Linked DNA regions of Cricetulus griseus. The main gene of each other region encodes a partner of the protein of the gene in region 3 in a complex. Links are inferred from orthologs where the notes say so. Each region holds a gene or a part of one and is shown on either strand. Other genes may lie near its edges.

Region 1 (3,635 bases), on a different chromosome or scaffold from region 3:
CAGGGAGGAAGGTAGAGGGAGTCATCTTGCAAGTCATCCTGCATGGCATCGCTGACCAGAGCTTTCAATTCAAGGAAATTCATATGAGTGTCCCCCTGTCTGGCTGCAGGCTCCCCCACACGCCATGAACCCTATGCAATGGAGACCACATGGTCCAAAACTCAAATCTGAACACCTGCCAAGATCTGAACTGACCATCAGGCTGATGCTCCAGGAGTCCCAGCCATGCAGAAGGTGGATACAGTGTGTTTGCTCTCAACTAACTCAGAATAGGGTTAAAAAGACGCGTGCTGGGGGCTGGAGAGATGGCTCAGTGGTTAAAAGCACTACTTGTTCTTCCAAAGGTCCCGAGTTCAATTCCCAGCAACCACATGGTGGCTCACAACCATCTATAATGAGATCTGGTGCCCTCCTCTGGCCTGCAGGCAACATGTAGACAGAACACTGTACACATAATAAATAAATAAATTAAAAAAAAAATAGACTTGTGCTAATAATCACTACACAACATCAGAGAAGCTATGGCCACAGTTTCTCGTGGTTCCAGAGTCATTCCTGAGCAGGCCCTCAGCAAGTAGCAAGAAAGAATCCAGCCTTCAAGCCCACCACTTGCATATGGAGGTGAGTGACAGATCTCAAGTCTTTGTGGGCATACTCTTTACCCAAGCTCCAGCTGCTTACCGTTCACACCCTTTGTATCAATGATGTTCTCTGCAGCTTTAGTTACTGTGAGATTCAAAGATTCGCTGCCAACTTTGTTCATTCTCCTGGAGTTCAGGGACCGCTTCTGCTTGGTGCTTCCAAAGGCTTCAATGCAAGAATCCAACTGTGTAAGAAACAAATCCAATCAGGAAGGACAGGCTGGGCAGGCTGACTGTTCCACGTATGTAAGCACAAGCATGCTCTGGGCTCCCTGAGCCAGGATTACCTCATCTGTCAATCCTTCTCATACCTGTCCACCTCAGAGGTCTGTTCCACATCAGAACTGGGATTTGATAATACTGACTCCCAGTTACAAATCTATAGTTAGTTTTCCATCAGTACAAAAAGACAACTTGACTGGAATTAGGGTTGGTAAATCTGTGGCACACAGCCTGCCAATATGCTATTTGCTCCAGTAACAGGACACTGTTAATAAACCACTCAGTCTCCCTGAACCACAGAGGAGTCTTCTCTTTGCAGTGGTCCAACAGCACTGCAGGTTCAGTCTGCCACCCTGTGGTGAGATCACTTCGCTAAGAATCCTTGATCTACACCGAGAAGCTCAAAGAACTTACTTTGTTTGCATGAGTCTCAAGGTACAACCATTTTCTACAATGTGGACCAAAACCTAAGATGTTTTCTGCTATACCTCCATCAGCCCAGAGAACAGGGTGCAAATACTAACATTAGCTGTGTTCACCTGGCCAGGGCAGCAGCTCTCTGGGAGACCTGAAGGCCTCTGCAGGTAGCAACCAGGCAGAGCCACAGACCAATTGAACTGGAACAGCCAGAGAGGCCCACATTCAAGGGCGCTGTGACACTGATGGGTAGACCAGGCCCTGAAGGAGCTTCCCTAACTACTGCTCACCTTTTCCCTGAAAGTCTTGGCCTGGTTCTCTGGAGGAGGCTCCTGTTCAATAGCGTCTTCTATAGAAACACAGGAAGAAAGCACACTATGAGACTCAGAAAAACACAGAACAGGAAGAAAGCACACCATGAGGTTCACAAGTGAGTATTTTACTGTTTTGTTTTTTAATGGGGTCTCACTATGTTGCCTAAGAAGGTCTTACACTTGTGAGCTCAACTGATTCCCTGCTCTCAACCCCACAAGTAGGGGAGACTGCAGCCAACTGTGCTCAGCTCTGCAAGGCCTTAAAAATATTAATAGTGCTTGGTATTTATTTAATATTCATCTAAGGAAAACAGATTTCCTTATTCCGGATTTCCCTAACATGAATGTACACTGTGAATACTGACTGTATACCTCAGTGCACAAGTAAGAGAACTGGGTAATGGGTGTCCTCTGCTCCAACCTCTTACTTCATAAACAGGGAAAATGAGGCCTGCAGACACAGTGACTGGCCCAGGCATTTTCCAAGCCAGGCCAGAGGGAACAGAAACCAAGTCCTCAGTTCTTCCTGTCAGTAGATTTGCTTTTCTAGTCAAAGACCTAAAGGCAGGTGTGAACATAATTCGGATGTTTTCACTCCCCAACTTCCCTCAGAGTACTCAAGGAGTGAGCAGCATAACCTGGCGGGCAAAAACACAAGCTCTGCAATGGCCCTGCCTGAGTTAGCTCAGCAGCAGGTCACTGACTCAGCCAAGTTTCAACGCAAGGAGAGAAAAAAAAAAGCCAGGTGGCCAGGTGGTGGTGGCACACACCTTTAATCCCAGCACTAGGGAGGCAGAGGTAGGCAAATCTCCTTAAGTTCAAGGCCAGCCTGGACTACAGATGGAGTTCCAGGACAGCCAGAACTACACAGAGAGACTCTGTCTCAAAAAAACAAAGAAAAAAAGCAATTAGAGTACATATGAAGTAATCATGGGTGCTTATGAAAGGTGTTCAGAATAGTGATGGGCACACAGCAAGGACCCAAAACTAAAGTTGTGCATGTGCTAGCCAGAACAAGCCAGGGCTTTAAACTGCACGAAACACAAATGTGTCTCGTCAAGAGTTAAACAACCCCAGAGTGTGAAGAGATGACTCAGCAGTTAATAGCACTTGATGCCCTTGCAAGAGGACCCAAGTTCAGTTCCATATGACAGCATCCATATGACAGGTAACAACCATGTGTAACTCCGGTTCCAAGGGATCCAACTCCTCTTCTGGCTTCCATGAGCAATGCATGCTTGTGGTACACAGACACACATGCAGACAACAGAACCATACACATAAAATAAAATAAATCTTTTTTTAAAAAAAGAATCAAATGTGGTGGGCTGGGAGAAGGCCAGCAGGTAAAGGTGTTTGTCACCAAGTTTGATGACTGGAGTTCCCATTCCTGGATCCACATATTAGAAGGAGAAAATCAACTTGCTTGAATTGGCCGTTGACTGCCACACATGCATTGTGGTGTACACACACACACACACACACACACACACACACACACACTGATAAACCAATGTAATAAAATTTCACATCTCCATTGGAGATGGTTCAGTGTGTTAGAGAGCTTGCTATCCACACACGAGGACCTTGGTGTGAATCCCCAGAACCCATGTGAAACTGGGCATGGTGGCACACATCTAGGATCCAAGAGCTCCCACAGTAAGATGGGAAGCCGAGACAACAGAACCCCAGATGCTCAAGGGGTAGCCTGCCAGCCTACTCAGAGCCAACAGACAGTGTCTCACACAGGTCAGTCAGGACCTCCCTATGTGTGCTGTGGCATGTGAACACCTGTACTCCCACACAAGAAGAATTAAGTCTGTGGTGGGAAAGAATGTACTATGAGACACCTCCCTTAATATTCTGTACTGATGACTATTCTTCTTGCTTTAAAGGCTGGTTTCTGAGACAATATCTGTAAATGCTGAAGAGATGGGCTCTTATTTGTCATACAGTCCTTAGTTTAGTACTTGAAGAATGTAAGGAATCAATAAGTGATTCATTTAAAAAAAATATTGCTGGGTGGTAGTGTCGAACACCT
Region 2 (4,222 bases), on a different chromosome or scaffold from region 3:
AACCACTCCTCTACCACATGTAAAAATTTAGTACTATTCGTAACCTACTTAGTTCAATTGAAAGGAGGATTTGAGCATTTAAGACTTCTTTGGAACTACTAGGAGAGAGTGCATTTGACATCTTTAAATAACCCAAGGATGCCAAATGGAAAAGAATGGGCTTTGTTTTATTTCACTTCCCCACAACTGGCCTCTTACAGATTCAACTTAAAAGTCATAATGTGATTTTAGAAAACCACTTTCTCTAAGAGAACAGTCCACAGTTGAAATGGGACACCTTTCTTAAAAATCCTGCCACTGAGAAAAGAAGGGCAAGTCTGTCAGGCAGGGAATGCTGGTGAGATGACTTAAGCAAAGGGGAGTCCGGGAGGAGTCTCAATCTCCCCCTCCCCCAATTTAAAAAGGATACAGATCTATGAATGCTAGAGGACAAGTCTGAAAACATAAACTATACAGGATAAATAGTTAATTAATATTATAATACAATTCCCAACATTCTTAATGGTTTTACCCTCCCTTGCTTTATTAACACTCTTAATACTGGAATAATACTGAAACTTAATCTGTACTGGGGGAGAAAAAAGGTTTCATTAAGCATACCTTCAAGAAAGGAAGGTATCCAGATAAACTTAAGAGTATATTCTATTCTACACAGGTGCATTATCCAATTCTGTTACAGAAATTATCAGTTTATAATAACTGCTTCAATTTTTCCCCAATGGCAATACTACATAATTGCCTGCATTTTCATATTTAATAATCACCTTGTATATTCTTAAATCTTTCAAACTTCTAATCATTTTCCTTAGATAATCACAAAAATTGCTAATTGATCTCTGTCTACTGCCTCTCTCTATTTAAAATATCACCTTGTATATTCTTAAATCTTTCAAACTTCTAATCATTTTCCTTAGATAATCACAAAAATTGCTAATTGATCTCTGTCTACTGCCTCTCTCTATTTAAAATATCACCTATTCGAAATTGTTTCTTAAATTGCAGCTATCCCAGGGACTGCAGACATGCACTACTCCTCTCAAGAGAGTACCATGTCTCAGTTGGAGGCTAATAAGTGGATTAAACAACAACTGTACTGTAAGAACCACAAGCAGATGACTCAGGAGTTAAGAGCACTTGCTGCTCCTGCAAAGAACCCAGGTTCCATTCCCAGTACCCACTTGGTGGTTAACAACCACCCACTTCTGAGGGCTCCGGGCATGCACATGGTACATATACAGACAAGTAGGCAAAACACTCATGCACACAAATAGGTCTAATACAAAAAAACAAAGTAAAATAGACAGTGACAGGCAGGCAGGCAGGCAGGCAGGCAGGCAGGAAGGGGGGAGGGGAGGGAGGGACGGACAGAGGGACAGACAGACAAAGGCAGAAGGGAAAGAACAATAATGACCATCTTCTGAGTCACCTCCCAGTCTTTGAAACTCCACTGAGGAATCAATGACATCCAATGTTTCACCTGACTTAACCGTCAATGCAGATACACTTTACTATGCTCTGGTCCATCTGTCTATGCCACTCGCTGGTTGGAATGCCACCATCTAACTACCACCCTATTGTGTTGTTCTCAAAAGTTACAAGATCTAACTTCACTTCTCTATATACAACTTATTTTAGGTCTGTCAAGTTTTAACAGTTCTCTAGATCTAGCTTACATTTATATCCCCACAGTAGCTCAAAGCTCTTTGAAAGTAGGATTTTACTTTTATTTGTCTTTCTATCCAACTGCCTAAGGCATACAGACATAACGGGATGTACCAGTGCTTAGTCTAGGCGGGCTTAACAGTAATGGGGTTGGTTGTGCCCAAATCCTCGAGAAGTGGTAACAGCTTTAGATAATTTGCCTAAGAACAGTCACCACAGAAATCCCTGCAACTCCGAAGTTTCACAGAATTAATGAAGGACAATGATGTCTCGGGGAATCCATACGCCTCAGGCTTAGGACCTCGCTCCCTCCACAATAATTTGTTATGAAGTACTAAGGCATTACCACTTCCGCTTGAAATGCCGAGATGTAATTCTGAGACATTTTGTTTTTGAGGTTGCAATTGAGCATCTTAATATAAACATGCTAATTTTATTTTGTTTGTGTCGAAAGAACGGTTCCTACAAACAGAACTAGGCAAAGGGGGATATTCACCATGCGTTCCCCGATTGGGCCCTAGAAAAGAAAACCTCGGGAGATGAGCCTAAGCAAACAACAAACGCGCCTAGGTTTTGCCAGGAAACGACTTGTTTATATATGCTGTCTTCCAAGGACGCAGAAAGAAACCGGTATACTGCCAGCAAAACTGCACTACGAACGAGAACACACCCGGAAGGGGCTAAGTGAAGCTTTCGCAAGCTCGGCCCGCTGGGTCTCGGGACCCCGGGCACTCGGGGTCGCCACACTGGGAGCGCTGTGTGCACGGCGGGCGCAGCCGCTCCCGCTGCTGTCAGGAAGGAGCTGGGCCCCGGCGCGGACGGCGACCCGGGATCCTCGTCTCGGAAGGCCGAGCAGCAGCCGCCCGTCCGCAGCGCGGGGATCCCGGGGCCCGCCAGGGGCGCAGGGCGCGGCGGGGCGCCGGAGGGCGGCAGCGCGGGGACCTCACCTCTCCGAGTAGCGCAGGAGCTCGGCGTCCAGCTGCTCGCGGATGCCCGTGCGCTTCCGGCTCAGGTAGCGCGGCGACAGGGCGATGTGCCTGCGGTGCGGGCCGGCCGCCAGGCACGAGTAGCGGCCGCTCACCAGCGCGCACGCCGCGGCATAGCTGGGCAGCTCCAGGCAGGGCACGACCCCGGCCGGACCCGCCGCCGGCCGCTCCGAGCCCGCCCTGGGCCGCGGAGACTCCACGCAGCCCGCAGCCATGCGGCTCGCTGGGTGCTTCCGGGGCGCGCGGCTGACGCCAGCGTCCGCGCCCCGCCTCCGACGCCCGATGACATCATCAACCAGCGACCGGCCCTGGCGGGGGGACTTTTTTAATCTCCGGAGGCTGCATTAGACGTGTGTGACCAGCAGAGGGCAGCTGCTCGTTCCCAAATCCAGACAAGCGGCCGCAGAGGTAGAGCATTTCTCACTGGGAAGTGTGCGCTGTTACCGGGAGGAGTTTGATTTTAGCGATCTGGATACTAGGAACTAAAAAAGGCAGAGGCCCAATATAGCCTGATTTTTTTTTTTCAGTCTCTTCAGTCGCTTTCAATGCTGGGCCAAGGTCTAATAAATTACTATTGCTGTGTGTTTTGGCTTTTTTGTTTTTAGATAGTGTCTCTCCCTGTAGCTCTGACGGGCTTGAAACTCAGAGGCTGATTCAGATCTCTTAAGAGATCTCCCAGTCTCTGCTTCAGGAGAGCTGCGATAAAAAGCATGCACGCCTGGTTAAGGTTTTCTGAGCCTTAATCGGGATGCCCTTTTCCAGTTGCAATGCTGCCTGATAATTGCTTATGCTCTGAAGCTGTTTTTCAGTTAAGGAATGAAGCATTAGTGGAGTGTGTTTCCTTTGTTGAACCCAGTCCTACACAGAAGCCCACAAATCTCAAAAGGCAACATCTGAACCAAAACCACCATATCTCTCCAATCTGGCTTCCCTCTTCTTTCTGCTAAATCACTGTGAGGGTGTCTTGCCATGCTTTTCACGTGGCTAAGCCCCCCATCGGCCTTGGGCCTTTGTGGTACACCTAAATATGAATCAAATTAGCAGGAAGACTCAAAGAAGAAGCAAGGCTCCATTTGGAGAGCACTGTCCAAAGTAAACTGTTCCCGTGGCTTCTACAACCTCCCTACCTTCTTCAGCAAAGACACCTAAGCACTGGGTGTGGAACTGTACTGTAGATACAGCCATTTAGACTAGGATCCACAACGCTACCTTTTTTTATTTTATTTTTTAATTTAATTTTTTTCTAAATATTTATTTACTATGTATACAGTGTTCTGCTTGCACACAAGGATAGGGCATCAGATCTCATTACAGATGGTTGTGAACCACCATGTGGTTGCTGGGAATTGAACTCAAGTCCTCTGGAAGAGCAGTCAGTGCTCTAAAGCTCTGAGCCATCTCTCCATCCCCCTTTTTTATTTTTTGTTCTTTTTCTTTTTTATATATTTGAATTACAAACAAGATTGAATTACATGAGGATCCCAGTTCCCTTCTCCCTCCCTTCCTCCGCTACCACCCCCAACTAAAATCCTACCTATCATATCTCCTTTCTTCTAATCTACACCTGACTCAAA
Region 3 (4,342 bases):
GACGGAGTGTTTCTCATCGGGCGGGGGCTCAGGGGCCGGGCTCCAGGCCGGCTCACTTGGTGTTTGCCCTCGTGCCGGCCCACCTGGTGCTCGTTCTCGGGCCAGCCCATCTGGTGCTCGTTCTCGGGCCAGCCCACCTGGTGCTCGTTCTCGGGCTGGGCGTGCGGCTGGTGGCGGGGGAAGTGGAAGCCGCCGGGGGTGGGGATCGGGGAAGCCGCCGACAGGAGGAAGAGGAGACAAACTTGAGAAAGAAAGGGCTAAGGGGCAGGGGTCTTTCACCTTAAGCACACAAGAAACATACAGGTGGCTAGGTGAGGTCTCATTTCTGTAATTAATTTTCAGCCTGACTGTAACTGGTTTTAACTTAGTAAAATATTTGAAACTTAGCACAGCTGAATTTAAGACTGCATAGGGTTACATTATAGTCCTTAAACAGTAGCTACAAGTACACATTTTAGCTGCTTGCTCAAATGAGACAGGGTTTTTCTGTGGCTTTGGACCCTGTCCTGGAATTCAATATGCTGGACCAGGCAGGCCTTGAACTCAAAAAGATCCATCTGCCTCTGCCTCTGGAGTGCTGGGATTAAAGGCGTGTGCCACCAACACCCTAAACTTAACTTCTGAAAAGATAAACATCTTATAATAGATTAGCAGCTTTTATAAAACAAGAATTTTACATTGTCAGGCTTTGCTTAAAAATAATTTTAAATTGAAGCTCTTTAAGTACAAACATTAATAAAAATAAACATTTAAAAAACTGGTTTTAAAAAGAAATTTAAATTCCCTTAATATCTTTCTGTAATATATAGAAGCATTAACACTTTAAATCTTAACTGAAAAGCTTGTTTCTAAGATGGAACCTCTAATTTCCACGCGGTCATCTTTAGTCAGGATGGCGGTTTAAGTATCTTTTTTCAACTTCAGCAAAATGGCTGCCAGTCAGCCATGTGACCAGTTTGCCATGTGGCTGGTTACAAAATGGCCATAACTTGCACCCTTTGCTTAACATGCTTGTAACAGAACTTAGGTTATACCAGGAAAAAGAACATTTTAAAACAAGTATACATAAATTACTTGAGAAATAAACAGGACTTTTTAAAAACAGAATTAGCTTAATATGGTTAAAATTTTAACTTATATTACCATTTTTAAAATTTACTATTTGTTGACATGAGAAACCATAGCAAACAGTTTACATTTTTCTCTTTTAATAATCTCTTTTCTGACCTTCTATGACTTGCTTTAACTTTCTATAACTTTTTATAGTTCTTTCCTCTGATTTTCTTAGACATTCTTAGACAAATTTTTCTTTTTCCTTTTTCTCTTTATTATTTAAGTCTCCTACATTTTCTCTCATTTCTCAGTCAATGTAAAAATTTTTATCAAAGTCCCTTTTACAGTTTTTAATAACTTTTAATAACTTTAAGGCCTTTTTTTTTTTTTAGAAGTCCGGATCAGGCCAGATAAGTTCATACGCCCCAGCTCCATGTGCTCAAGGCAGAGACCTGGGGTGGGGGTGTTGGTGGTAACCCCAGACCCTTGGCCAATGCAGGGGTGGGATAATGGGATAAAGACCCCCTCGGTCCCCCTGCATACCATGTGTGTGGAGCACAGAGAAGGCCGAGCAGCCAGGCAGATGGCGGGCCTTGCAGCCATGTTCCCTCAGAGCAGGGAAACTCCCTTGGCAGGCAGGATGGCAGCTGGGGCAGAAACAGCCCCACTTGGCATGCCTCACAGACCCGCAGGTGGGGATAGAAAGGGGGTGGTGTGGTGGATCCTGAATTGAAAACCAATGATGATAACACAGAATAGACAGGAAAGAACAGACGCCAACCCAATCCGCCCGCGCCGCTTATAAGGCAATGGCGACGGAAGATGGGCTGCAGAACCCAGCGGCTACAATCATCACTAACTGAGGAGGATCCAAGTCCTTGGCCTCCGTTCGTACCTCCTGGGTGTCCTCAGAGCAGCAGTCTGTCCTCCGGGCGCATCTGCTGATCACAGTTGAGGTGGCATCATGTGCTCAGAGCATCAAGAAAAGACCCCTGACCCATGCATTCCATGTGCATGGGCAGTAGGGACAGAAAGAGATGTTTAACACAGACTAGGGTCCTATTCGGAATTTCAGATGGCTAGCCCCGTGGAGATCAACTTGGTTCGAAACCAAGTCTCCCCTATAGATTTCGGAAGGCTGCCGCCCGAACTTCCGCCTTAAACAATTCTTGTAGGCCTACTCACAGATGTCGCCAGAAACCCCAACATAGGACCTCCATATCCACAAAATTAACAGAAATAGTAAAATTGACACACAAGCAGACGGTTAGGGTGTGGGCTGCAACAGATCAGATAACAGATAACAAACCTGTTGCTCAACTGTTCAGTCACCCAGCCCATTCCAATCCTCTAGGCTTAACAGACACCAACAGCAAAACAGGACATCAGACAGGACAAACCCTGTGGCAAAGAAATGGTGCCCCAAACCAAAATTACAAACAACCCTTGGACTTCATCCAGGGCGGAACCAAGGATTCCAGAAATACGTCTATTTCTGTGCACGTCTGCTTACCCTATGGTTCAATTCAAATAGCCCTCGGACTTTTGTCCAGGACGGGACTTTGAAATATGTCTATTTCCCCCTGAAGTCCAAATTACAAATCACGAGTCCTGCGCAGGCTCAGATCAACAAAAGAGCAATTTCAAGTGGCACCAAACCAACAAAAACAAGCAAACATATAACATTGAACATATAAGTTGCGAGCTCGAATCATCTTACCTCCAAGATCGAATCCATTCAGGTGAAGGGTGGTCGCAAATCGCGGACGAGCCCCCAAATGTTAGACCCCCCGGAAAACTCAGGTATCCGGGGTCCCAGGCCACATTCTCGGTCACCCCAATCACCAGGCGGATTCGAGAGCTTGATGCAAACTGCATGAGGCTTTATTGTAATTTAACAAGCTAACCCCATGTTAGCTCGGGTCTTTTACCCACCCGCCGTGGCAGATGGCTCGCAAAAGACAGCTCCTAGGGTCTCCCAAGAGATCTTACAGGGCAGCGTAAGGGGAGTGTCTAGGGGTATGCACAGGCTCACTATTGGTGTGCCTCCAGCCTTGGAGGGCTTGCCCTGTGTTGATTGGCCAACTGGTTGTTATGGCCCATAGGCCCTCCCAGGGTGGTTGCTATGCTTTGTGCGTCATTGCTGAGTGCTTATCCATAAAGCACACCCTGGGTCATAAAGTATAGCGCCACCAGCTAACTTCTGATTGGTTCCTTGTCTCGAGGCAGGCATCTGACTTTCTAGTGACTAACTTCTGATTGGTTCCTTGTCACTAGGCAGGCATCTGACCTCTAAGTGACCAAGACAAGGTTATGGCAAGCATGTGTTCGGCTGTTATGGCTGCTGAAAGGGAAGCTGGTCCCTTCACTATCAGTCTCCACATGAGTTCATGCCCATGCAGAAACACCCACATGAATATCCAGAGCTGTCTAAAGGGTCACAGCATCAAGAAGGTTGAGAACCACTGCTCTAGTAAGTGAAGAGAGTGAAAATGCTAGACTTAGGAGTCAGAATGGAATGGTGAGAACCAATTCCTGGAGAAATGATCTGAGAGCAAGGACATCATTTTCCAGCTATGGGAAGGAAAGGACCAAGCAGGATGCAGGATTATGAAGTCCTAGAGGAAACCCCTAGCCTAGGACCTCAGATCAGGAGGCATGAGAGAAAACATTTTCTTTAAGCTTGGTAGGTTGGTAAATGCCTGTAATCCCAGAGCTTAGACAGGATCATTTGGAGCCAGAAGACAGTGGGCTTCGTAGTAAAGCCCCGTAACAACTCAGGCTGAAAAGTGGAACATCACCATACTCCAGAAAGCTTCATGTACTCCCACTCATAGCCACCTCCCGGCATCCAAGAATGTATTTCTAAGTGGTACTATTTGCAGTTACATTGTGGGGATGAACTTTTATTCATTGATGTTTTTAAATTCATCCTTGAAGATATATAGAACTTAAAATGAATGTGCTAAAAACAAATTACCTGGTCTGTTCACATAATTTGCACTATTGATTTTTTTTCTCAACTTGGAGTTATGCTTTTACAAAGAAAAAAAGAGCAATAACAATTCTATCCTTATGTTTCTAGTTCATGTGCAGGATTTTCTCCAGGACATGTTTGTTGCTCAGTCACTTAACAAGCCTGCTCCTATACCTTGCTATATTCCCATTCCATTGTGGTTATATACTCATAGTTAATAGGTCTGGGCATAATGGTAAAACCTACATACTCAAGAGGTGGAGGCAAGAGAATTGTTGGAAGTTCAAGGCTAGCTTGGGCTACATAGTAAGT

Evidence for each region.
Region 1: Polr1h (region 3) and Polr1e share a complex: the UniProt entries of both Homo sapiens proteins name them as parts of the RNA polymerase I (Pol I) complex. The link is inferred for Cricetulus griseus from reciprocal best matches to the Homo sapiens genes POLR1H and POLR1E.
Region 2: Polr1h (region 3) and Polr1f share a complex: the UniProt entries of both Homo sapiens proteins name them as parts of the RNA polymerase I (Pol I) complex. The link is inferred for Cricetulus griseus from reciprocal best matches to the Homo sapiens genes POLR1H and POLR1F.

The regions. Positions count from the first base shown.
Region 1 is NC_048595.1:98,426,691-98,430,325, forward strand, and holds part of Polr1e (DNA-directed RNA polymerase I subunit RPA49), read right to left. Parts: intron 1,630-3,635; coding exon 1,571-1,629; intron 827-1,570; coding exon 682-826; intron 62-681; coding exon 1-61. UniProt on the Homo sapiens protein: Component of RNA polymerase I (Pol I), a DNA-dependent RNA polymerase which synthesizes ribosomal RNA precursors using the four ribonucleoside triphosphates as substrates.
Region 2 is NW_023277425.1:46,311-50,532, forward strand, and holds the start of Polr1f (DNA-directed RNA polymerase I subunit RPA43), read right to left. Parts: upstream 2,899-4,222; 5' UTR 2,864-2,898; coding exon 2,610-2,863; intron 1-2,609. UniProt on the Homo sapiens protein: Component of RNA polymerase I (Pol I), a DNA-dependent RNA polymerase which synthesizes ribosomal RNA precursors using the four ribonucleoside triphosphates as substrates.
Region 3 is NW_023276806.1:228,751,927-228,756,268, reverse strand, and holds the start of Polr1h (DNA-directed RNA polymerase I subunit RPA12), read right to left. Parts: upstream 2,817-4,342; 5' UTR 2,774-2,816; intron 1-2,773. UniProt on the Homo sapiens protein: Core component of RNA polymerase I (Pol I), a DNA-dependent RNA polymerase which synthesizes ribosomal RNA precursors using the four ribonucleoside triphosphates as substrates. Can mediate Pol I proofreading of the nascent RNA transcript.